Caenorhabditis elegans: one gene and its partners. The protein of the gene in region 2 interacts with the protein of the main gene of each other region in a biochemical or structural test. Each region holds a gene or a part of one and is shown on either strand. Other genes may lie near its edges.

What was found.
Region 1: the proteins of rho-1 (region 2) and rhgf-2 form a complex in vitro, tested with the Caenorhabditis elegans proteins (one study listed by BioGRID).
Region 3: of the proteins of rho-1 (region 2) and rga-3, one has a biochemical effect on the other in vitro, tested with the Caenorhabditis elegans proteins (one study listed by BioGRID).
Region 4: of the proteins of rho-1 (region 2) and rhi-1, one has a biochemical effect on the other in vitro, tested with the Caenorhabditis elegans proteins (one study listed by BioGRID).

What each region holds. Positions count from the first base shown.
Region 1 is NC_003280.10:4,105,409-4,110,282, reverse strand, and holds the start of rhgf-2 (DH domain-containing protein), read right to left. Parts: upstream 3,003-4,874; coding exon 2,653-3,002; intron 1,074-2,652; coding exon 908-1,073; intron 1-907.
Region 2 is NC_003282.8:16,483,010-16,490,655, forward strand, and holds the start of rho-1 (Ras-like GTP-binding protein rhoA), read right to left. Parts: upstream 6,013-7,646; 5' UTR 5,958-6,012; coding exon 5,937-5,957; intron 5,420-5,936; coding exon 5,285-5,419; intron 3,139-5,284; coding exon 2,788-3,138; intron 1,055-2,787; coding exon 983-1,054; 3' UTR 1-982. UniProt on the Caenorhabditis elegans protein: Required for ventral migration of epidermal cells during ventral enclosure in the embryo and for cell elongation. Also required for ventral migration of P cells during larval development.
Region 3 is NC_003283.11:5,716,229-5,722,606, reverse strand, and holds rga-3 (Rho-GAP domain-containing protein), read right to left. Parts: upstream 4,723-6,378; 5' UTR 4,703-4,722; coding exon 4,580-4,702; intron 4,525-4,579; coding exon 4,048-4,524; intron 3,998-4,047; coding exon 3,800-3,997; intron 3,749-3,799; coding exon 3,040-3,748; intron 2,993-3,039; coding exon 2,400-2,992; intron 2,353-2,399; coding exon 2,108-2,352; intron 2,059-2,107; coding exon 1,470-2,058; intron 1,425-1,469; coding exon 1,323-1,424; intron 1,246-1,322; coding exon 1,024-1,245; 3' UTR 518-1,023; downstream 1-517. Other genes in the region: K09H11.9 (Neuropeptide CCHamide-1), read left to right, coding at 6,026-6,074.
Region 4 is NC_003284.9:4,506,719-4,511,475, reverse strand, and holds rhi-1 (putative rho GDP-dissociation inhibitor), read right to left. Parts: upstream 2,968-4,757; 5' UTR 2,961-2,967; coding exon 2,865-2,960; intron 1,254-2,864; coding exon 1,000-1,253; intron 949-999; coding exon 723-948; 3' UTR 531-722; downstream 1-530. UniProt on the Caenorhabditis elegans protein: Regulates the GDP/GTP exchange reaction of the Rho proteins by inhibiting the dissociation of GDP from them, and the subsequent binding of GTP to them.

The DNA of each region.
Region 1 (4,874 bases), on a different chromosome or scaffold from region 2:
AAGAATACTTGATAAGGGAAGAGGGAGGAAATATAAACATGAGGCTAGCAAAACCCAAGTGCTGAGGAGGATATGTAGTGGGTAAGCACTCGTGTTTTTATCTAGAAAACTTCTTTGAATCAACTGTTGATTGGGAGTTCTAGGTAGGCTTTTAGGAAGTGACGTGGTTGAAGACTTTGATAGCAGGCAGGCACGTAGTCATGCCCACGCCTGCCTACTCATCTGCATGCCTACGTGCCTGCCTATCGCTTTTTGAGTTTATTCTTACAGGGATTTCAATTAATTTGTATAAGGTTCACCAAAGGCATGTAATAGACTCATAGGTACGTAGGTATACAAGCACGTAGGCACGCGAGTCCCTGGCAGGCATAGGTCCCCAATATTCCTTCAAGGTTTACTTCAATTTTCATTTCAAAAATTTGAAATTTCACCAAATTCCACCCAAAACTAAACTATCAAGTAAAGTTCAGACATCTGAACGTTAAAGTAATTGGGATGCTGTCTAGAACGCTCAAAATTTTTCAAATAAGAAAATTATTGTAATGGTCTCATAACTTTGACCTTAAATTAATTAATTTTAACGATATTGTGAGTGGAAAACTAGCAAAATTTTCAAATTTTGATTCTGATGTAATATTAGATATGCTTAACTTTGGCGGCTCATATCTCGGCGGTCTCTTGCGTCATCAAAAAAGTGTCCACTGACGAAATGTTTTGCTTGAGTTTTTCTATAGTTCTGTAATTGAAAATGTGTTGCTATCTTTGATATGAAACAAGATACAAGCCATCAAAGTTGGCTGCGGTTCTAGTTAAAAAAATTTTACTAATATTTTTTCACATTCCAGCTATCGTTTCAGATCCCATTCTCTTTATCAACAAAACTAATTTTTTGAATTCAAAAGCTCACATCTAATGCATTCCTCTGAGCGTGCTCATTTGTCCAATCATTGTGCAGAGATGGTCTCCTGCTTCGAGCATGTCCAACACTACTGCTCATCTCGTCGATCGTTGGTGGAATCGACGGAAGTGATGGCCTGCGAGTCGTCCGACGCTTCTCGGTGTTGATTAGGTTGCTGAAAATGAAGAAGTTGGTATAGGGTTGGGAAGTTGGAATTTTAGAGAAAAAAAGCTGTTAGAAACTAAAAAAACACTAGAACATTCTTGAATATATCTATAAAGTTAGGAGTACCTAATTTTCTAAATTTGCAAAAAAAAAATTTAGTTAAAAATTAGAAAATTCTGATGAGTTTTAGCAGCTCAAAACTCTAATCAAATTAGCTTTAAAGTATATTTTGAAATTTGGAATTTTTTTTTTGAATAATCTACGTGCTTCCAGTCATCCACCCACATTGCCTTTCTATGTTCCCAGTCTTAGGAGGCGCTTTCCGGGCGTTTTTCAGCCCCCTCTTTCAGTAACTGATATATTCATTACCTCCATAACCCATCTCAACACCAAAAACCATGTTTCCAGAAGGAACTCCGTCAAAATTGCAATTAAAAAAGAGAGTATCCAGTACCACCACCCAAATAAAAAAATGAGATGATCACTCAAAAATTGTCGCCTTAGGGCACATTTTGAAATTTCGGTTGAAATTAATTTTCATCTCCCCGATCCCTTTATTTTGCAGCACGCGATATTTGCACTTGACTGATTTTTTTTGTTGAATGGAAAGAAACACCCAAAATTCCACAATATCAATGCAAATGGGGGAAACGATGACGCTCCTTGTGGTCTCCGCGCGAACGGATATCCGTCGGATTTTCATTCACAATGGTACTAAATCGTGGGAAAATTTGAAGAGAAAAAAGTCATAGAGTAGAGAAACCGGGAAGAGAACGAAGACTGATAAGAATCGGGAAGACAATAGAAATAACTATTTGAGAAAAAAATTGATAAAATTCATTGCTTCGGCATCATATAACTCGGCTTATTTTTATGCTATCAAAAAATTGTCAACGATCAAAATATTTATTATTTATTTTTCTATAAATTTGTAATTCAGCAATTACAGCTTTCTACTAAAGTGACCGAGATCTGAGCTGTCAAAATAACTAGCTTGGAGTTTAAAAGTAGCAATGAAAGCTTGAATTATGTAACGGTTACAGCTACTTCTAGAATTTTAAATAATTTTACTACTTTTGTAAAACTACTGGGACGGTTTTTAACGGGTTACTGTAGTGTAAAGGGACAATAATTTGTTATAAAATTTGGAACATTTTCACTCAAAAATATTTTTTTAAAAATCCAACTTTAGATTATTCCGCAAGTAACCGTCTACGGAGCAATTTCACTGATAATTTTCAAAAATTCTAGTCAAATATACGTTTCAACAAAACACATAAGACAAATCTCCAAGTGACGTGAAAACCCAAATGCTAAACAGAATAATATCTGAAAGGGGCACAGGTGAAAATCCTCGAAAATTTTGAGCTGAACTTTGATGTCAGGACAGCTACATTTCGGGAGGGTCCGTGCAGAAATTGTGATTGATGGTTTCGGATTTGAAATTGTTTTTTGTTTTCATTTTTATTTATAACATTTTTGACCCTTGGCCTTGGTGGATCTTCCTTAGCAAAAAAAGAAGCAATAATTAAGCTAATACTATGCACGAAAAAATGAAAGCATAATCTGATGATGAGGATTAAGCTCACCTGCTCGACTGATTCCTTCTAAACATACTCTTCCGCTTCCTCTGAATACTTTCCATAAATTTGAAGGGCGACGACGTGGACGAGGTGGGAAGTGCGGGGAGCTCGTCTAACGGTGAGCCGATGGTGGAGCAAGATTCACGAAAGAATACTGAATCGTCTCTATCCAAAGGTCTCGGCGAGGGGGGCTCTTCTCTAATCGAATCCAAATCCACAAAGGCCGCCGGACACGCGGTGGCGGCGAGCAGCGTCGTCGCCCCATTATAGCACAATCTCATTGCGGATAGGGGTTCCGAAGATGTGAAAGTGCAAGGAATAGAAGTTGAGGGAGTTGCAGAACCATTTTCCAACATATTTTTTTTTCTGGAGTTGGGAGCTGGAGCGATCCAAAACGGGGGGAAACCAGGACCAATAGAAAGGGGCGGCGCCTTGTCTCCTCTCTAGTTTTCCCCCTCCCCGCCGCCGCAACTAGAGAAAGATGAAAAGTGAAAGAAACCAAGAGAGGAAAAAGAGTTTACTGATAGATATCTAGCAACTTTTTCCCCTTTTTTTGTGTTGTGCTTCTCTGGAAATTTTCGACTCTTCTCCCAAAAATAGTCAAAAAAAAAGTCAAAGAACGGAAGGAAATGAGAATGCATAGCTGAAAACAGAGCGGAAAAGCCCAAACCACGAGTTGTTGGATATTTTGAACCCGAAAACTTTTTTTAGCTTTTAAAAAATGTTTCTCAGAATTCCTAAATTTTCGAATTTTTTTAAACATTTTATATGAAAAAAATTACAAAAAATTATTTACGGAAAATTGCGCTAAAATTGTGAAAAATACAGTATGCCTACATAGGCAAGCCAAAGCCTAAGCCTAGGCCTAAGCTTAAGCCTAAGCCTAAGCCTAAACTCTCCGTAAAAATTCGCGCTGATCGGCCGATAGGAACCCTTTCAAAAATCAAAAAAGCCGGAAAATCCTAAGCCATGCTTGAGCCCAAGCCTAACCCTAAGTCCAAGCCAAATCCTCAGCCTAAGCCTAAGCCTAAACTTGAGCATAAGCCTAAGCCTAAGCCTAAGCTCCTTCAATTTTTTAACGATTTTTGAGTAAAATTTTTCAAATTTCGATTTTTTTAGAGTAATCAATTTTTTCCAGAAAATAACAAACAATTGTTTTGAAACAAAAAAAAAACAAAAAAAATTTGAAAAGTTTTTTTCACAATTTTCACATTTCTCTACAGTACCACCCCAAACACTTATTCGTCGCAAGACCACAAAACAATTTCAGATTCTCTCGTTTTCCAGAATGTTTCTTCTACCCACGTCACCAAGACCTCAAATGAATCAAGATGAATCACAACGACAATTGGTTTTTCCTCTATTCACAGAAACAGAAAACAAGCAATTTTTCCGTCAATTCTTATTCTTGCTTGTTCTTGTGAATATCATTGCAAATGTCACTTTTGGAGGTGGTTCTCAATGGAGCGAACTTGAATTGGGAAGCCGACCCTCACAGTTTTATATGTTTTCATCGACCATAACATTCTCAAAACATAGGAGTTTTTGTCTTTCTAGACACCAAAAAAATGTTGCTTTTGGACGGGGACTCAACAACTCTTTGATTCATTAGAAATTCATAAGGATTTTCCTTGAAGAATGGTGCGCGCATGTGTAATTGGTGAACCCCTCAGCAGCCCAATTTCTTATTCATAAATCCGATCCGAGTCACCCAAAACCTAAGGAGTCAACTGTCGAGAGAGAGGACGATGAAATGGAGGTCACGCAATATATGCAGACAGGCACACGAAACCCTAATTATGATGAGGGTGACACTATTGGGTTATTCGAAATTTAGAAAAAGTCCAGGGAGAATTTTAAAAATAAAAAAAGAGAGGGTTAAGAGTATTTGGAACTGTAGAATTTCAGACAAATTGCCAGTTGAAAGATATTTGATAGCTACAGTAATTCTACATAAAAGTATAATTTATCAAAACAGTATTTTTCAGAAATTTGGTTCAATTTAATTAGTTTTTTTTTTAATTTGAAATTGACAAATAAAAACTAGATTTGAAGAAATTATCTCATTCTTGAACAAAAACCTGAGCCTAAGACTAAGCCTAAGCCTGAGCCTAAGCCTAAGCGTAAGTTTACTTTTTTTGCTTTATTCAAAAAAAAAACAGTCTAGGGAATTGGTTTGTACATTAGATGGATGGGCAAAAAAATCAGAAGGATGAACCAACAAACAA
Region 2 (7,646 bases):
CACGCATTTCTTAAATTAATCGAGAAAAATCGATAATTTTTTTCTGGAGCAAGCTCTGGAGCCAAGAGTCCTTAAAATCGAAAAATTTTCGATTTTTTCCGATTTTTCATTAAAAATCGAAAATTTTTCGATTTTTTTCCGATTTTTCAGTAAAAATATCTCAAAATGTGGTGAAAATCGATTTTTTTTTTTCAATTTTTTCATTTAAAAAAACGGGAAATTTCCGATTTTTTAGGAGAAAACGGAATTTTTTTGTTTTTTCAGATTTTCTCGAAAAATAGCTAAAAATCGATTTTTTCGTAAAAAAAAAGGGAAATTTCCGATTTTTCAGGAGAAAACGGAAAATTTCCGATTTTTTCCGGATTTTCTCAAAAAATAGCTCAATTTTGGCCAATTGTCCAATTTTTTTGAAAAAATTTTCTACAAAATCGTCGAAAAACGGCATCCTTGGCTAAAGCTCGCTAGGAAAAAAAATTCGACGAAAAAAAAATAGAAACCTGTTACATTGAAGCTAAGATAGGAAAGTAGCGATGGGGCGATGGAGGTTTTTTCAATAAAAATGAAAAATTAGTGATTTTGGCAGAGAAAAAATTATTTTTTAAAGAAAAAAGTGTGTAAGCGCGTCGGAGGGGTAACGGAGGAATAACACAGTTTGACATTGTGAAAATCAAAAAAAAAAACGGAAATTTTTTTTTTAATTCGGGGAATTCGGGGATTAAGCTATAAAATGTGTGTGTGTGTGTGGGCGGGAGAGGAGATGTGTGATTTGGAATTTCAGAGAGAAAGAGAGAGAGAGCGGTGGCCTAACTTTTTCAAGTTTCAAGGCCACGGCCACCACCTCAAAAAATTGGAATAGAGAAGCGCGAATTTCAAATTTTGTATGGGGGAAATGGGGGGAAAATGATGAAAAATCAATTTTTGAAGAGGGAGAGAAAAAACGAGAGAATTAGAGAGAAGAAGAGCAGACATTTTATCGATTGATTTACAAAATCATGCACTTGCTCTTCTTTTTCTTCTTCTGTTGCAATGCCGCCTGTGTCGCCTTCTCGAATACCTGAAATTGGAAAAAATTAGTGAAAAAAAAATCGATTTTTTTTCGGATTTTAGCTGAAAATTGAGACTTTTAGAGCAATTTTTCACTTTTTTCTGGAAAAAAATCAGGAAAAAATTGTAAATTGTAAATTTTTTTTAAAAATTTATTTGAAAAAATTGAACATTTGGGGGAAAACTGGTGAATTTCAGCTAAATTATTTTTTTTTCAATGAAAATCAGAAAAATGGCTCAAAATTGAGCTAAAAACCTCAAATTTGAACTGAAATTTATTAAAATTAAAAAAAAAAAGACTTTTTTCCAAATTTTTTTCTGAAAAATTGGAAATTCGGGGAAATTTCAATGGAAAAGTGAGAATTTTAGCTGAATTTTTTTTTTAAAAGAAAATCAGAAAAATAACTTTTTTTCGATTTTCTTGGAAAAAATTGGAAATTTGGGGGAAAATTAGATGAACTTTTGTTGAAAATTGAGACTTTTAGCTCAATTTTGAGCCATTTTTTAAATTTTATTGGAAAAAATTGTGGGAAATTCGAAAATTTCTGTTCAAAATAGAACGATTTTTTTTTCCGCAAAAATTGAATTTTTATCTGTAATTTTTCCAATTTTTCGAATATTTTTTTAAAGTGATTTTCTCCAAAAAAATTGAATTTTTTGTAATTTAAACTTTTGGAAAATCGAAATTTTTGGACATATTTTAAGTTTTCATTTAAAAAAATCAATGTTTTTGGGTCTCGAAGCGAAAATCGGATTTTTGACTGAATTTAGGCCAAATTTCCAAAAAATTTAGAAAATTCAGCTGAAACTGTCGGAAAATTGTCGAAAAATATCGAAAATATCTTCCAGGTGAAGTTTTACAAGAAAAAGATTGAAATATCAGTTTTTTTTTAAATTTATACGGCCTTTTAGAGCCCAAAATTGTCGAAAAATATCGATTTTCGCCAAAATCTGGAATTTTTCATAAAAATTCAAAATTTTTTGGGTTTTCTCGGCTGAAATTTCCGGAAATTCCAATCATTTTTCCATAATTTTCCATGAAAAATTGAAATTTCAGATTTTTCAGTTTTTAGAGCACAAAATCGTCGATTTTCAGCTCGGATCTTTAAAAAATCATAAGAAATTCATTTTTTCACATAAATTGAAAAATTTTTTTTCAAAAAATCTGGAAAATTTCCACAAATTTGCAACTTTTCGGAAAATTTTTCACGAAAACTTTGGATTTTTGCAGCTTTTTATATCCCAAAATCGTCGAATTTGGAATTTTGAGCTCGGATCTTCAGAAAATCACTGAAAATCCATTTTTTTTTTCATAAAAATTGCAATTTTCTGGGTTTTCGAGGCTGAAATTTCCGAAAATTCCACCCAATTTTCCCATAAAATATTGAAATTCGGATTTTTTGCAGTTTTTACAGCTTTTTAGAGGCCAAAATCGTCAAAAATATAAATTTTCGCAAAAATCACGAATTTTGAGCTCGAATCATTAGAATGTCATAAAAATTGCAATTTTCTGGGTTTTCTTGGCTGAAATTTCTGGAAATTTCGCACAATTTCCAATTTTTCTTCGCAAGTCATCATTTTTTGCAGAAAAATTGGAATTCTGAGCTCGAATTTTCTGAAAACCCTTTTTTTCATAAAAATTCAAAATTTTTTGGGTTTTCTCGGCTGAAATTTCCAAAAATTTCGCTCAATTTCCAAAATAATTTCCATCTCTCAATTCGGTGCTACTGCTGCTTGTTGTACCTCACGAATTCCGTCCTTAGTCTTCGCAGAGCACTCCAAATATGCAAATGCTCCAATTTGCTCAGCAATTGCTCGTCCCTGCTCAGGCTTCACGGGCTCCTGTTTCATTTTTGCCAATTCTCGAACAGTCTGTGGATCACTACGAAGATCTCGTTTATTTCCGACCAAAATAATCGGAACATTTGGACAGAAATGCCTGACTTCTGGTGTCCATTTTTCTGGAATATTCTCCAGTGAATCGGGTGAATCAATTGAGAAGCACATCAGAATGACGTCAGTATCCGGATAAGAGAGTGGACGCAGACGATCATAGTCCTCTTGTCCAGCTGTATCCCATAGAGCAAGTTCGACCTGCAGAAAATTTCGGATTTTTAAGTGAAAAAATTTGAATTTTTAGGGAAAACCCGAGATTTTTAGGTAAAAATTGTATTTTTAGAGGAAAATATGCATTTTTTAGGTTAAAAATTTCAATTTTTAGAGGAAGAAATCTGGATTTTCAGCAAAAATCGCTATTTTTGGAAAAATTTGAATTTATAAGGTTTAAAATTTGGATATTTGGATGAAAAATTGAATTTTCGGGCGAAAAACTCGGATTTTCAGCAAAAATTGCTATTTTTTTTAGAAAAATTTGAATTTTCAGCTAGAGAACCTGGATTTTTAGGTAAATATGGTGGTATTTTTAAAGGAAAAATATGAATTTTTTAGGCTAAAATTTTGGATTGGATTTTAGGTTAAAAACTTGGAATTTTCAGGTAAAAATTGATATTTTTAGGGAAAATTTGGAATTTTTAGGTTAAAAACTTGGATTTTCGGGTAAAAAACTTAAATTTTCAGCAAAAATTGCTATTTTTTTTAGAAAAATTTGAATTTTCAGCTAGAAAACTTGGAATTTTAGGTGAAAAATTTGAATTTTCAGGTAAAAATTGATATTTTTAGGGAAAATTTTTGATTTTCAGCAAAAATCGCTATTTTTGGAAAAATTTGAATTTTTAAGGTTAAAAACACAACGGATTTTAGAGAAGAAAACTCGGATTTTTTTCTAGAAATTTGAATTTTTAGATAAGTAAAATCTTTATGAGGAAAATTTGGAATTTTAGGTAAGAAATTGTAATTTTCAGCTAAAAAAATGGTTTTTTTGGGGAAAACTTTGATTTTTAATGAAAAATTGAATTGTCAGCTAGAGATCCTGGATTTTTCGGTAAAAATTGTATTTTTAGAGGAAAAATATGTGCATTTTTTAGGTTAAAAATTTGGAGTTTTGAGGTAAAAACTCGGATTTTCAGCAAAAAAATTGCACTTTTCGGAAAATTTTGAATTTTTTTTAGGTAAAAACCATTGGATTTTTTAGAGTAAAAATCTGGATTTTCGGGTGAAAATTTTGGATTTTAAAATATGAAAAATGGCAATTTCTAGCTAAAAACCTTGGATTTATAAGTAAAAATTGGTTTTTTTTTTGGAAAAATTTATATATTTTGTGGCTAAAAACTCGGATTTTCAGCCGAAAAACTTAGATTTCCTGGTAAAATTTGAAAAGGGAAAAACCTGGATTTGCAGCTAGCAAACTTGGATTTTCAGCAAAAATTTGAATTTTTTAGGTTAAAAAATTGGATTTTTAGAGGAAAAACTTAGATTTTCGGGTAAAAAATTCGAATTTTCTTGTGAAAAACCCTGGATTTTCAGATGAGAAAATTCGAATTTTCTGGTGTAAAACCAGGAGTTTTAGGTTTAAAATTTGGATTGTTGGATAAAAAATTCGAATTTTCGGGGGGCGAAAACTCGGATTTTCAGCAAAAAATTGGCATTTTTTGGAAAATTTTGAATTTCTAGCTAAAAACCTGGATTTTTAGGTAAAAAAATGGCAGAAAATACTGTTTTTCTCGAAAAATAACACACAAGTTTTTCTGAAAAATCTCTCAAAATTCCTCAAAATTTTGCTTAAAATCGTAAATTTGTGTGTGCATTTCAGTCAATTTATAGGCGAAAAACAGTCATTTTTGCCAATTTTTCTTAAATTTTTGGTAAAAAAAACGGGGAATTTTCACGAAAACTTTGAGAAATAGGGAATTTTCAGCAAAAAAATAGCTGAAAAACACGATTTTCAGCTTAAAAAAATATAAGGCAATTTTCGACTCAAAAATACGATTTTTTTTCCTCAAAAATCGCAATTTTTCACTATTTTCAGCTCAAAATCACAGATTTGCTCCTTCTAGTCAAAATTTATCGGAAAAACATGACTTTTAGCTCAAAAAACGCGATTTTTCACTGTTTCGAGCCAATTTTTTCAATGATAAGCTCAAACCCGGCTGAAAAGCACAAATTTGCTCCTTTTAGTCAAAATTTGTCGAAAAAACAACGTGTTTAGCTCAAAAATCGCAATTTTTCACGATTTTCAGCTCAAAAATCACAAATTCCTTCATTTTGGTCAATTTCCGAACGAAAAACTCGATTTTCGGCTCAAAAATCGCATTTTTTCACAATTTCTTCATCCAATCCGCACCTGCTTTCCGTCAACTTCAATGTCGGCAACATAATTCTCGAAAACAGTCGGCACATACACGTCTGGGAACTGATCCTTTGAGAAAACGATGAGCAGGCAAGTTTTACCGCAGGCTCCGTCGCCGACGATCACCAACTGCAAAACAAAAAAATAGTCAATTTTAAAGTGGAATTTCCGAGAAAATTTCGATTTTTTCGGGAAAAAAACGACAAAAATCGATAAATTCGCCTCAAAATCAAGGGAAATGACAAAAAATTCAGTTTTTTTTCGTGAAAATCGATATTTTCGTGTGATTTTGGGCTCTGGAGCCATTTTCATTGAAATTTAGTGAAAAAATATGTATTTTATCTGAAAAAAACTGAAAAAGAGCTCAAAAATTGTCAAAAACTATTATTTCGACAATTTTTGAGCCATTTTTCAGTTATTTTAGATAAAACACATATTTTTTTCACTAAATTTCAATGAAAATGGCTTCAGAGCCCCAAAATCGCCGAGAAACATCGATTTTCGCGAAAAATTGCTGAAAAAACTGAAATTTCTGTAATTTCAAGGAGAATTTATCGACTTTCGTCGTTTTTTCTCCAATTTTCTCTCCAATTGAGCACAATTTAATGAGCCGCGGAGCATCAGAATGAGAGGAGCTGCTGCTCACCTTCTTTCTAATCGCAGCCATCTATCTCTATGTGTGTGTGTGAGTGAGGAACGCGAGAGGGAACACCCGTAGAGCCCTGCAAAAAAAAGGGAAAATTAGAAAAAATTAGATTGGAAAATTGAGATTAACAAATATTTAAAAGAGAAAAAACAGGAGAAAATGCGAGAAAAATGGGCTTTTATCGGGAAAAATCGCTTGAAAATGAGCAATTTCATGAGTATTCGACACATGCCTCCTTAAAGGCGCAGGGACTAATTCAGATGGGTCTCGCCGCGAGAACACAGTTTTTTTTAATTTTTGTGGCTTTTTCAATGAAATTACTTGATTTTTAGCGAATTTTGTCGTTTTTCTCCCATTTTTTTGGTGAAAATTGTCTTAATCACCAAAAAAAATGAGAGGAAAACGACAAAATTCGCTAAAAATCAAGTAATTTCATTGAAAAAGCCACAAAAATTTAAAAAAACTGTGTTCTCGCGGCGAGACCCATCTGAATAAGTCCCTGCGCCTTTAAGGAGGTATTTCAAAATTTTCCGTGAAATTCATTCGGCCAAATTTGTGAATTTGGTCGCTTTTTCAACGGAAAAATCGCTTGAAAAGGGTGGAAATTTAAGTTTTCGCCACGAAAATCTATGGAAAAATGGAATTTTCGACGTTTTTAAATGGAATTTCGCAGAAAAATTTCAAATTTCCAAATAAATTTGTGAATTTGGTCGTATTTTGACCGAAAATTCCAAATTTTCAACGTTAAAAAATGGAATTTTTCCAGAATATCCATGAAAATCCGGCGAATTTCCAAATTTCTGAACAAATTTGTGCATTTGGTGGAATTCAACCGAATTCGAGCAACGGAAAATAGCTTGAAAATGGCCGAAAAACTTCAAAAACGTGGAAAATCACGAAAATCGCAATTTTCAACGGTGAAAATGGAATTTTTCAGAAAATTTCCAGATTTTCGCTTGGAAAACCACAAAAATTGCTTTTTTGGAGCAATTTTTTCGGCAAAAAAAAAACGTATAGACGTCAAAAATTATGGCCACTGGGTAGATCACTGGTAGTGAGTCACTACTGTATGTGTTGGTTGGAGACACCCCACTCACACCACTCACACACACACAACGACACTGACATAGAGAATGGTACAGTGATGATGATGATGATGGGAGAGAGAGAGAGTGGGGAGAGACACAGAGAACACAGAGAACACAGAGAGCGGAGACATCGATTTGCAAATTGAATGCCAATGATGATTCATCTTGTGTGAAAGAGAGAGAGAGAGTGGCGAGGGAGGTGAGAGGAAGAAAATTCAAACCGATAGTGGGGAATGTCTGAAAAAACTGGGGTGTGGCGGGGGAGGTTGGCGGGATGATAAGAAGTAGATCACAATTAGTCAGCGGAAATGTGGTCAGAGTGTGTCCCGTTTCGGCTTGATCTACGTTGATCTACAAAAAATGCGGGAGTTGATTGAGACGCGCAGACTTTTCAACTGATTTCGCGCATGGTTAAGAACGTGCTGACGTCACGTATTTTTGGGCCAAAAAAATTCCCGCATTTTTTGTAGATCAACCCGTGATGGGACAGCAGCCTGGCACTACGTGAGTCAGCGGAAGTGCCGGATTTTTTTTCTTCGAAAATCGACCATATTACGGGAACTAGGACTTCCATGGTAGGCAGGCGCGGTTCCACTGCCTGCCTGAAACCTGCCTGAGAATT
Region 3 (6,378 bases), on a different chromosome or scaffold from region 2:
CTCAAAAAAATGGGAATTACTGAATTTTCTGAGTATATAATTACCAATTTAAAAAAAAAAAGAATATTTTACTTTGAAATATTACGGGAACACTGAATTCTGAGAATGCGTATTACACAAAATATTTGACGCGAAAAAATATCTCGAAGCGGAAACTACAGTAACTCATGAAAGACTACTGTAGCGCTGGTGTCGATTTACGCGCTCGATTTTTGGAACTAATTTCTGTTCGAATTGTTACCGCGATAATCAATTTTATTCCGTTAATTTGTTTTTTTTTGATTTTTTTATCGATTACTAAATTGTTTCCGTAAATCGACACCGGTGTGCTGTAGTTATTTTAAGAGTTACTGTAGTTTTCGCTACGAGATATTTTGCGCGTCATATATGTTGTGCAATGCGCATTCTATGAATGTTTCCCGCGCCATCATAATAATTCAGATTCAATAAGCAAACGTAACATGTTTTGTCCTACTAAGTTTCTCGAGATGATTTTTGATCAAAGATGTGGAGAAATAAAAGTGCACCATCTTATTTCGTTGGAAAAAAATTGCATTGAAGTTAAGAGATGGGTAAAGTAAAGCACAATACTAAAAATAATGATAATAATGGTGGTGTTGATGATCAGATATTACACAAGAAGCAACACTAAAAAGGAGAAAAACTCGGGAAAATCGGAGAGAAAATACGAGAAAAAAGGGTTTCCAGTGGAAATTGGAATGAAAATGAAGCTGGAATGAGGAGAGAAATCGCGATTTTTTGGGTGCCAAAGGCTAATTCTGATAATGTCAGATGGCAACAAAAAAACCCCAAATACACATGGAAATTGGTAGTTCTTATTTGTAGAATGATAAGCTAGAAAATCTAGTAGTATCTAAAAGAAGAATACGTGCGGGGGATAGAAAATGCGAGATTTCAAGTACTTGAAAAAGTCTGGGGAGACAAAAAATGGGGATGAGGATCGTAGAATTGAGACAAAAAATAGTGAGCCATAATTCATGAAAACATACAAGAATTTAATTTTTAGAAATATTGCCCAGCATCATTGGAGACCCGTGATGTAGTTGGAGTGGCAGTTGGAGTGCTGATCGCCGAGTCGGTGGATTCAGAGAACGCGGCATTTCGAAGATCCGAGACATCCGAAAAACGATCCGAAAACGGGTCATTGCTTCGGAGTGATGATTGTGACATTGCTGACAATCGACCGCTCATCGATGTTTCGACGCGTTGCAAGTGCTCGATTTCCTGGAAAAAATATATTCTTTGAAATTTTTAATTGTTTTTTTGTGGAATAGAAAATAAAATTTTCTACAACAAATTACCTGAAAATGATTGACTCTGGATCGCACTAAACCGCAATTGTTATTCCGTAGAATTGCAACTGAAGGACGAGATTCGACGGAAGCTTTTCTGCTTGGCAGTGCCTGAATTAGTTTTTATTTGCCAATCACTACAATTTTTATACTTACAAACTCATCAGTTGCAGACCTCAGCGCATTTGTGTATTTTCCAAACTCGAAATAATCACTTGATCTTGGCGACATCTGATTCGAAGATCCTTGATAGGAAGCTTGAGCTGGCGCCGATCTTAACGCAGTCGGAGTTTCCTCGATGCTCTTCGTTTCTCGAAGATTTGATCGATTCGGTACCGAAAGCGTCGACTTTGATGAGTGTGCTTGCCGGGCCAGCGGAGAGATTCCCGATCGGTTCATTTTCTTTGGCATCGGCAATTGCGGAAGCTTGAACTGTGTTGACGGTTCTTCAGGTTCCCCGGCAGCAGCAACAGGAAACTCGAATCTATTATCGATTGATACGGATCGAATTGGCAGTTTCGGCGAGAAAGTCTTCGGCATCCGTGGATGCGAAGGAGAAGTTGGAATACGCCGTGAACCGTCAGATATCGAGATTCGTTTCATGTCATCGAGAGCATCCAACGAGACTTCCGACTTTCCCGGAGTAAGATGGGGTGGTGAATGTGGAGGAATCGGCGGCGGTGTAGATCGCTTAATTTTGACTGCCAATGGAGATAATGTATGTGATCTTGGAGTGAGATTGGTTCTGAAATAAACGTATGTATAGTTTTCTGCATTTTCGATATGAAACTAACCTAGGAGACGATGTGATCACTTGAGAAGGCGCAGAGTTGTTCGTCATTGTAACGTGCTTTAACAGCGGTGACATCAGTGAACTCGACTCTCTTCGGACTTCCGATGGCTTGTCTAAAGGAGATTCTGTGGCCTTCGAGTATGAAAGATGAGCTCGGCTCCGTCTTCGCGAAAGACTAGGAGTCCTCGTAACGGATACAACCTGCTTCGTTCCAACCCACGCGTGACCATTCTCGTGTGAAAGTTTCTGTAAAACATACGCCTTTTCAACTTTCAAAATTGATTATTTGTTACCGTCGGCGTATCCATCACCATTGGCGACGTTGCAATGTCACAGAACTTCTTCATTTTCTTCAAATTGTCCAAATCCTTCCTGAGCACGACTTTCGGCGTTTTTTGTGGCGATTGTGGCGACTCCTCTTTCAACGAGTCCATCACAAGTGGCTCCGCTTTCAACATACTCGTCGATTCGACAGCCATGGATCCATTGAGCACCAGCATGCTTCCTGTACTGATGTGTCTCATCGGAGCCGCCTTATTCTTCCTTCCCTCTCGCCGCGATCTGGCTTCCAGTGCTTTCTGCTCTAATAACCATTCTGACTGATCCACATTGTTCGTTGCGTCTAGCGTGTCATCAGTCTCGCAGTCCGCCTGATTCTCCTTCTCCTCCATGGAAGATCCGTTATTGAGAAATGAGTCATTTCGATGAGGGAGGCTGGCACCAACAGTGTTCGGCCGATTTCTGCGGAGCCTATTGCTGATGGGAGCAGTGTGACGCCTGTTTGTGAGCTTCACACCATTAGACCTCGGCTTCTCACCCAATATCACAGTATTGCGTTTTCGAATTTTAGATTCTCGATTGCGTTGATGCTCGGATAATAGAAACTCTGAAAATGTAACATAAATTATTTTCCAGAATGGAACGATTTCTCACCTGCAACATTCATCTGCTCATTGGACATTATTTGTTTTGCAAATCGCATTGCATCCGTATTCCGATCGCTGGCCGACAACCGTCGAAGAGCTCCACTGCTGAGAATTTGCTCGGACTCGAACATCGTGGAAATCGTAGACTTTCCACTACCGTTATTTCTCGGTGTGGCGTTCGTGTTCCCTCGCCTATTCTGATGGCTTCTCGATTGTCTTCCAGACGCTGTTGATCCCGTCGACATGGTAGTCGACTCATTACGTGCCACCTTTTTCCGATGAATTAATGGGTCTTGGTGAGGATCGGTGTGCAAGTTCAATGAGCATATGTCCGTCAACTTGGATGGCTCGGCAGTGTGTCCAGTCGTAAGGCGTTCCGGGCTTGGACTCTTGGTTCTCTTCATATTCGAAAAACGATGTTTAAGGTCGCGAAAGCTCGGAAGAAACGATGCGGATCTCTTCTTCTTCGAATCCTGTTCGCCCTTCTTTCGTGCAGTCACTATTTTGTGCACCGCTTCTGAATCTCGTCGGTGAATGGTGAGAGGCGTGGATGGGCCCGGTTCTCTTCTTTGAAGCGAAGCTGTTTGAGCCGAAAGACAATCCGCATCGGACAACGTTTCGTATCCACTGCTCATGCAGCGTGGCATAGCGCTTGAGCTTCGGAGCATTGCGTTACTGGTGACGTATGGATCACGACGGACACCAATTAGATTGGCCTGAAATCGATATAAATTAGCTTTTAAAATTAGGAAAAAAATCAAACTTACATTGGTAATTAATAATTTAACCGCCGCCGTGTTCACATTCATTTCATGTCTTTTCTGCGCCAAAATATCCTCCTTCGAGCCACGACGGAGCTGCGGAGTTTTCTTCGAATCATGAATTCCGTCACCGAAAACACTTCCAATGAAAACGATAGCCAAATTTTCAATTGACATCTTGTGTTGCTCACTGTGGGCGGCGATCTGGAAGAAACGGAGTTTTGGATAAGAAAATTCAAATATTCTCGCCATACCCTGTTCAGCTGTCTCATCACATATCCCAGCGTTGACGCATGCGCATCTGAGAGCAGCGGTGTTTGTTGCTCAATCGTTCGATCCTCCATGTAGAAGACATCTGCCATTTCATCCCGCGTCATCAAAAAACCATCCGAAATTCTCGCCTGGCATGCTTTCTTCAGAAGTCGGGCTCGGCACTCTTCAGAGTCAAGAAGAGGTGGTTTCAGATCACGAAGGAAACGCTTCACCATTGTACAAACGTCAATAACACTGTAATCGTTCGGAATGTCGCGTTGTCCCTTGTAGATCGCCTGAACTTCTGCGCGATTCAGCCGGACAGAGTTGCCTTCCTTGCGGAAAATACCATCAGTGTCCATTCCGTGCTTCGAGATGATGTTGAACGCGTTCACAATGAACTTGGGAACTTCCTTCAGACGTATTCTCGTCCAGCCGGTGCCGACGTTCACGTCCAGAGTGACATTCGTTGAGCATACCTGAAAATGCATATTAAAAATATATTATAGATTCGAATAGTTTTCCAGCACAAACCTCTCCAAGAGTGTAACTAAATTTATTTGGCCTCGGACCTGCGCCGGCGATCACTCCGCTTGTCGTCGAGCCTTTCCGATACACCGACGAGGATGTAACGACACGAAAGTCGTTGTGTTCCATATATTCTCGAGTTAGTCAGCCTGAAAAATGTTTGAATTGATAGTTCGAGAAGCCTATAGGCAGGAGAACACGTTTTTAAACGAGAAAAAGAGAGATATTTTCATTAAATTAATTTACGAACATTTTTGAATCGAAAAGCTTATCAACTTTCAATAGAAACGCATGATAACAAGTAGAAATACGGAGAAGAGTTCAAGATTCGAATTGTGTGAACAGCGTGCCGCACAGGCTGGCGAATCTTAAATTTCAGTTCATTTTTCATCAGGAGCATCAATATTACAGAAAAAAAGCATTGAGAACACAGAGAAGCGTCGATTCTGCGTCCAAACCGAGAAAAAAAAAATCAAATTCGCATGATTATCGATAATTTTTTAAAAATTATCCTAATTTAGTCAAAAATGAAAAATTTCCCGCATTTTTTCTTATTTTTTACAACGGGTTACTGTAAGAACCTGCACATCTTACTACGGTGGATGTTTACAATTTATACACCGAATGCGTACTGCACAGCGCGCATTTTAATTGACGACATTTTGTGAAAACTGAACTAACATTTTATAGAAGTTTATTTTTTCAGACAAAAACTTGCTTTTTTCAAAACTACTGTACTTATTGAAAGTGAATGTCTGGGCAAAACGGAAACTGTGCGGTGAATACGATTCCATCATTTTGTCTTTCTAGATTGAAATTGAACCGGAAAGATGGGAAAAAGGCAAAAGAGAGATAGCCGCAAGAAAAAGGTTCCGAAGACGTCAAGAATTCAGAAGAAAAAATATTGGTCTGGAAGCAGAGGTTGGCTCAATTGAATAATCAACTCAATATACCTTTTTTATTATTCAGGTTGAAAAGCTGCGATTTGAAGCTTCCAATAATTCTCGCGGCGTGGAGCTTGAGCAACAACTCGAATCTGAATCACTGAAGAATGAGCACGAACTTGTTCGCAAGATGATAATTGATGATATGGAGAAACTGGAGGCATTTCCTTGTCTTCTAATCAACTTTTTTTCTGACTTATTCTCCCAAAATCCTGCAAATACCTCGTTCAGATTTTTGTATGTCCACTCATCCGTTTACTCGCCAACACTAGGCAACTAAATAAAACTACTGGTGGTTAATGTTGTATATCAAATGGCATAAAGTAGATACACACACAGACACAAGCAACTAACCAACTACTTGCTGTGAGGCAACAGTTGTCCTTCTGGTAAAAAGTGGGCGGAGTGGGTGGAATGAAAAAGCAGCAGGAAGAAATTGGGGGAAATTGTGGGAAAACGGACAGTTTGAAGGGTTACTACAACTGACGGTTTCTTTTCTTTCACTGACATGATTATTTCGACTATTTGTTTTCTAATATTTGGGATCAGTCATATTGGTGAGTTCAAGCAGTCTCTAATGATCTAGATTTAAATAACTTTAAAATATGGAGCATACAAGACAAGTAAAAGTTGAAGTTCGACTAATTTGTGTTAAGTTCAAAAAGTTGTGGGCCTTTAAATAGTACTGTAATTTCAAAACCGTTTGTTGCCAAATTTTCAATAAGTTCTTATAGTTTTTTTGAAATAATGAACTTTAAGTTGTATAATGAATAAATATATTTTCATCAAAAAATAATGAAAATCGATAAAAATTACAGCACTCCTTTAAAGACGCACAGCACAAACGCTTCTACAGCCTGA
Region 4 (4,757 bases), on a different chromosome or scaffold from region 2:
TTGCACGAATTCAATTTACTAATCTTAAAGTAACTTTAAAAGTTAGAACTACATAGTAATTTTGAAAGTTAGAACTACAGAGTAATTTTAGGTAACACACGAGTACCAAAAATACTTAGGTATTCAGTAAAAAGATCTGAAAATTTGCTACAAAGTTTCTGGTAAATTTTTTTTTAAGTTTGGATTTTTGTGAGAAAAGTCTATTCAAATTTTTTTGACTTTTTATTACGAAATTAATTTATTTTAACACATTTTGGGTTTATACGTTCAAAACTTCCAAACCGTTAGTACTCTTTTAAATTTTCAAAGTTGTAACGTTTTGTAGTTCAATTCTTATTGTATCAAAATAAAATCTCTAATTCTGAAATTAATACAATGTTCCGGCCCAGCTGAAACCACGTGAATATTGCGGAACAACGTGTAAATGCGTATTAGGATCTTAAGTTTTTGGAAACGCAGCAAGTTAGTGTTTTTTGGTTAGTTTCCAACGTTTCACAAAACAGTACACTTTGTTTTAAATGATTATGAAATATCACTTTATATATCATTTCAATTTGGCGGGGAAAGGGGAGAGGCATCACACAACACAACTAGTGCATCAAAATCAATAATAACCATAAAACAAGGAAAACATTTGGGGTGGGCGGTAAATTGGAGAAAAAAGTCATTTTCATTGAGAATTTGAATATAAATATGAGGTTCAGTAAAGGCGGAAAATTATTCTACTCCTTGGTAATGTGAAGGGTCCATTGCCAGTCAAGATACACATTGTTGTCATCGTCGGTAATTTTCGAGTACACCTTGTACTTTCCACGATGCATCATTCCAGACGGAGCTTCTTCGTTTGGTGATTTGTACTCCTGAATCTCAAGTTTTGGCGCGTAGCTTCCCATCATGTACTTCTCATTCTCCACAGTGATACCGGATCGTTTCACCTTATGTTTGTAGCTGAAACAATTTATTATTTTAAGTTAAGATTAAACACACAAAAAAACTAACTGCAATCCGGACGTAATTTCGCGTTGCACATGGAAAGCAAAGCTTAACCGGTAATTGGAACCTTCTTTGATGGAAACAGACAAGTCAGAGTTGACAAGTTTTGCTGGATCCGATAAGTCAAATGATTGCGCAGTTTTACCATTAATGAGCAGCTCGACGGATCGGACAATCACGCGGAGTGGGTTCTTCTCGTCGACAATGACTGTTCCTTGGCCGAGAAGTTTGGCTTTGTACACTTTTAGAGACTCGTCCTCCTGTAAAAATTTCATACTAAAATGTGATTGTCATTGGATTTTTATAAAAGTTTATTAGGGTTAATAGAGACCAAAATTGTGGCACATTAGGAAAATTCACAAAATGCCCTTTTTCTCATTGTTATGTTGAAGTTTTTCGCTCGGAAATTTGTATAGAAATGTAACAAATAGGGGTGGCTATAGGTCGACCTAGGTCGACCTGCGACCTAGAGGGTTAGGTCGCATCGCGACCTAGGTCGCATTGCGACCTGCGACCTAGCGACCTAGGTCGCATTGCGACCTGAATTACCGACATTTTGTTCTCTTTCGGTTTTGATTCACTTGAGTTGTTAAAATCCGTATAACTCGAAAACTAAAGATTGCAGAATATGTGTATTCCACTAACATTTTCTCTATTAAGATTTTATAAGTTTATGCGTAGTTTTTTTTCAAAAGTACGGAACAAAGAATTCATTTCTACAAATAAAACCATGCATTTCAGCAAATTGTTTCAAAAAGTTCACGTTTTTGTGGTTTTTGTTGTTTCTAAAATTTCATTTTCCACTTTTCGAATTAAAAACGTAGAAAAAAGCAGAAAATCCGGCGGATGTCGGCTGTTCTAACTTTTTTCGACAAGGTGTCTTATGGATAAGAAATCGAAAACAATGTAAAATAAATGATTTGTAGCAATTTGTTAGTATAAAAAATGTCAGTACTTCAGGTCGCAAAGCGACCTAGGTCGCTAGGTCGCAGGTCGCGATGCGACCCAGGTCGCGATGCGACCCAGGTCGCTAGGTCGCAGGTCGTAAAGCGACCTAGGTCGCTAGGTCGCAGGTCGCAATGCGACCTAGGTCGCTAGGTCGCAAGTCGCAATGCGACCCAGGTCGCTAGGTCGCAGGTCGCAATGCGACCTAGGTCGCGATGCGACCTAAATGAAAACAGCGACCTAGCGACCTAGGTCGCACTCTTGCCACCCCTAGTAACGAATATATGCATTTTCCAAAAATAACTCTCCTTTGTATGAAAAGTTTTGGGAAAGTGTTCAAAAACTATCTCAAGGAGGAATATACAGATTATGAGACAGTTTTTGAGAAACTTATCAAAGCTATCGTTGTTTTTGGAAAATACACATATTTCTATATACATTCTCAAAAGAAAACTTTGACACAACAATCAGAAAGAGGTGATATTAGTGTTGTGCCGATAACATTTTAACGGCAGTTCTTTCTACTAATAACAAGTTTCAGGTAGTTTTCAACATCTTGTTAAGTTTTTCTACAAAAGTAAATTTCATTTTCAAAGAAATAAAATATTTTCTATATTTCAGCATTTACTTAAAAATATTAGATTGTCATACCAAAACGAGTTTGCCGGGGTGAATTGCCGCCCGTTGCACTACCTTTTGATTCTATTTTACAATTATCAAACCTAAAACTCGCAGAACACTGTAGCCTGAATGCAAGGATTTTGTGTTTTGAACGTAGCTTGGCTCGGCTTTCTTTGTTTCAATTAACTACTTTTTATTAATAGATCGAAGGCCAAAGCTGTCTTGTGATCAGATTCATCAATCCACATCCATTAGCAATTTCGCAAAATGTTCAATTTTTTTTGTTAAAAATAAATTTAACAAACCTTGTCAGCATTGAGAAGCTCGTCGATGCTCTTTTGTGGTGGTTGCTTGTACTGATATTCGGAGGTGTTTTCACCAGTGTTCTCGTGGTCAGACATAATTCCGCTGAAAAATGGGGGGTAAGCGCTGTCAGAAAAAAGAAGAAGGGAAAGAACCAGAATATTCGAAAACCCAAGAATCGAAGAATTGCAATTATGAACGACTTAAAGAAATGCGAATAAAAATGCGGCCAAAAATGAGTGCCTACGACAAAAACGATTCTGAGGGCAAAGACTCGAACGGTCGAAACCAAAATCTTGCGACAAAAAGAGAAAACGTCCAAAAAAAATAATGGGGCAAATGGGCAACTGGAAAAATACCGGAAAAGAAATTTCATAATCAAACCGAACAACCTCGTTCGAGACAAGAAGAATTAGACAAACACACGGAGAGGAGGGCGAAATGGTTGAACAATGTCAATTTGTTATCTATCCCACCGTCTTTTTCTACTCCTGTGTGGTTTTTCGTCTCCGCCTACTTTTTCTCTTCTTCTTCAAGACAAATTGTTGGTAAAACAGATTTGTGAAGCTTTCTTCTGATGCGATTTCTTTTTTTTTTTTTGCTGGCGTCGCCTATATCATTTGTTTCCATGTACAAGATGGAAAAATCCAATTTCTGGATATATGGGAAAAATACTAAAATGATGCTAAAATCACTAAAAAATTAAAATAAAACTATTCAAAATAATTTGGAAATTTTTTTTATTTCGAATCAAAAACCAGTGAAAACTCAGTTCTCACCAATTTTTTGAATGTCGTTTCTGATTTGAACAGTTCTATTTTTCAGAAAGTGGCAAAAACTTATGCCACTTTTTGACTGACCTTTTTGACCCTTTAAGCATATGCGTATTGTCGAAAATTGACGAAAGAAAACAAAAAAACAAGTTGCCTTAAATCAGTCATTGTAGAAACATATGACATACTGGAGGAGCCAAAAATTCAAGTGATGAGAAGTAGAACAAATGCAACGTCAAGCAAAATAGTCTTCCCTTATCAATTGATTCGTTACTCTGGGAATTTAACAAATGACTCATCATGTTGCTTGCCCAAGAACAAGAAAGGAAGTCGTGCTGCTGAGTAATCGAAAACATTAGAAATTAAACAGAATGATAAATTTCAAACTTTAAATGAACAATTGATAGATTGAAGAGCGAGTTAAAGAAATAACGCATATCATGTCAAGTATTAGGAATCTTCTCGCCCACTAAGAGAGAGAGTCACAAACAACAGACAAATAAATACAGTTCGAGTATGGGTGGATAGTGAAATGAGAGAGAAAAAAGTAGAGTGAGTGACACAAATGAAACACACTCACACTCACACACACACATAAACTTGTGTGTGTGTGTGTGTGCGTGGAAAAATGTTTGTGGAAAACCGAATCGTCGAGGGAGTGGCGCAAGGAAATCGCTGATGGTGGGCGATGATGGTGGTGGAGGAGGACGAGAAGGTAAAAATGTCAAAATCGGGCATTCTAGGGCACCGCTGTGCACTGATTGCGAGGAGCAAGTGAAGCAAAAGCAGTGCGAGAAAATACAGTTCTCGTTTGTTTAAAGTATTTGAACGCGGTTAGTTTTTGGCTGGGAAAGAGAGAGAGAGAGAGAGAAAATCAAAAAGCCTAAGAATTGGACTAATTCAAAAACGTAAAATTGGAAGTGTTGTGAATTTTAACACAGATATAGTGTGGCACAAAATAATTATATTTTCGAAAATTAAAACTTTAAAACAATTCAGTTCCACACCTAAACAAGTTATTTCCACACCTCGGAAATAAAATTGAGGTGGTTACTAATGGGAAACAAATATTTGAAGATCTCTAATGTTATTAGGAACATATATTTGCCAGTAACTTTTCAA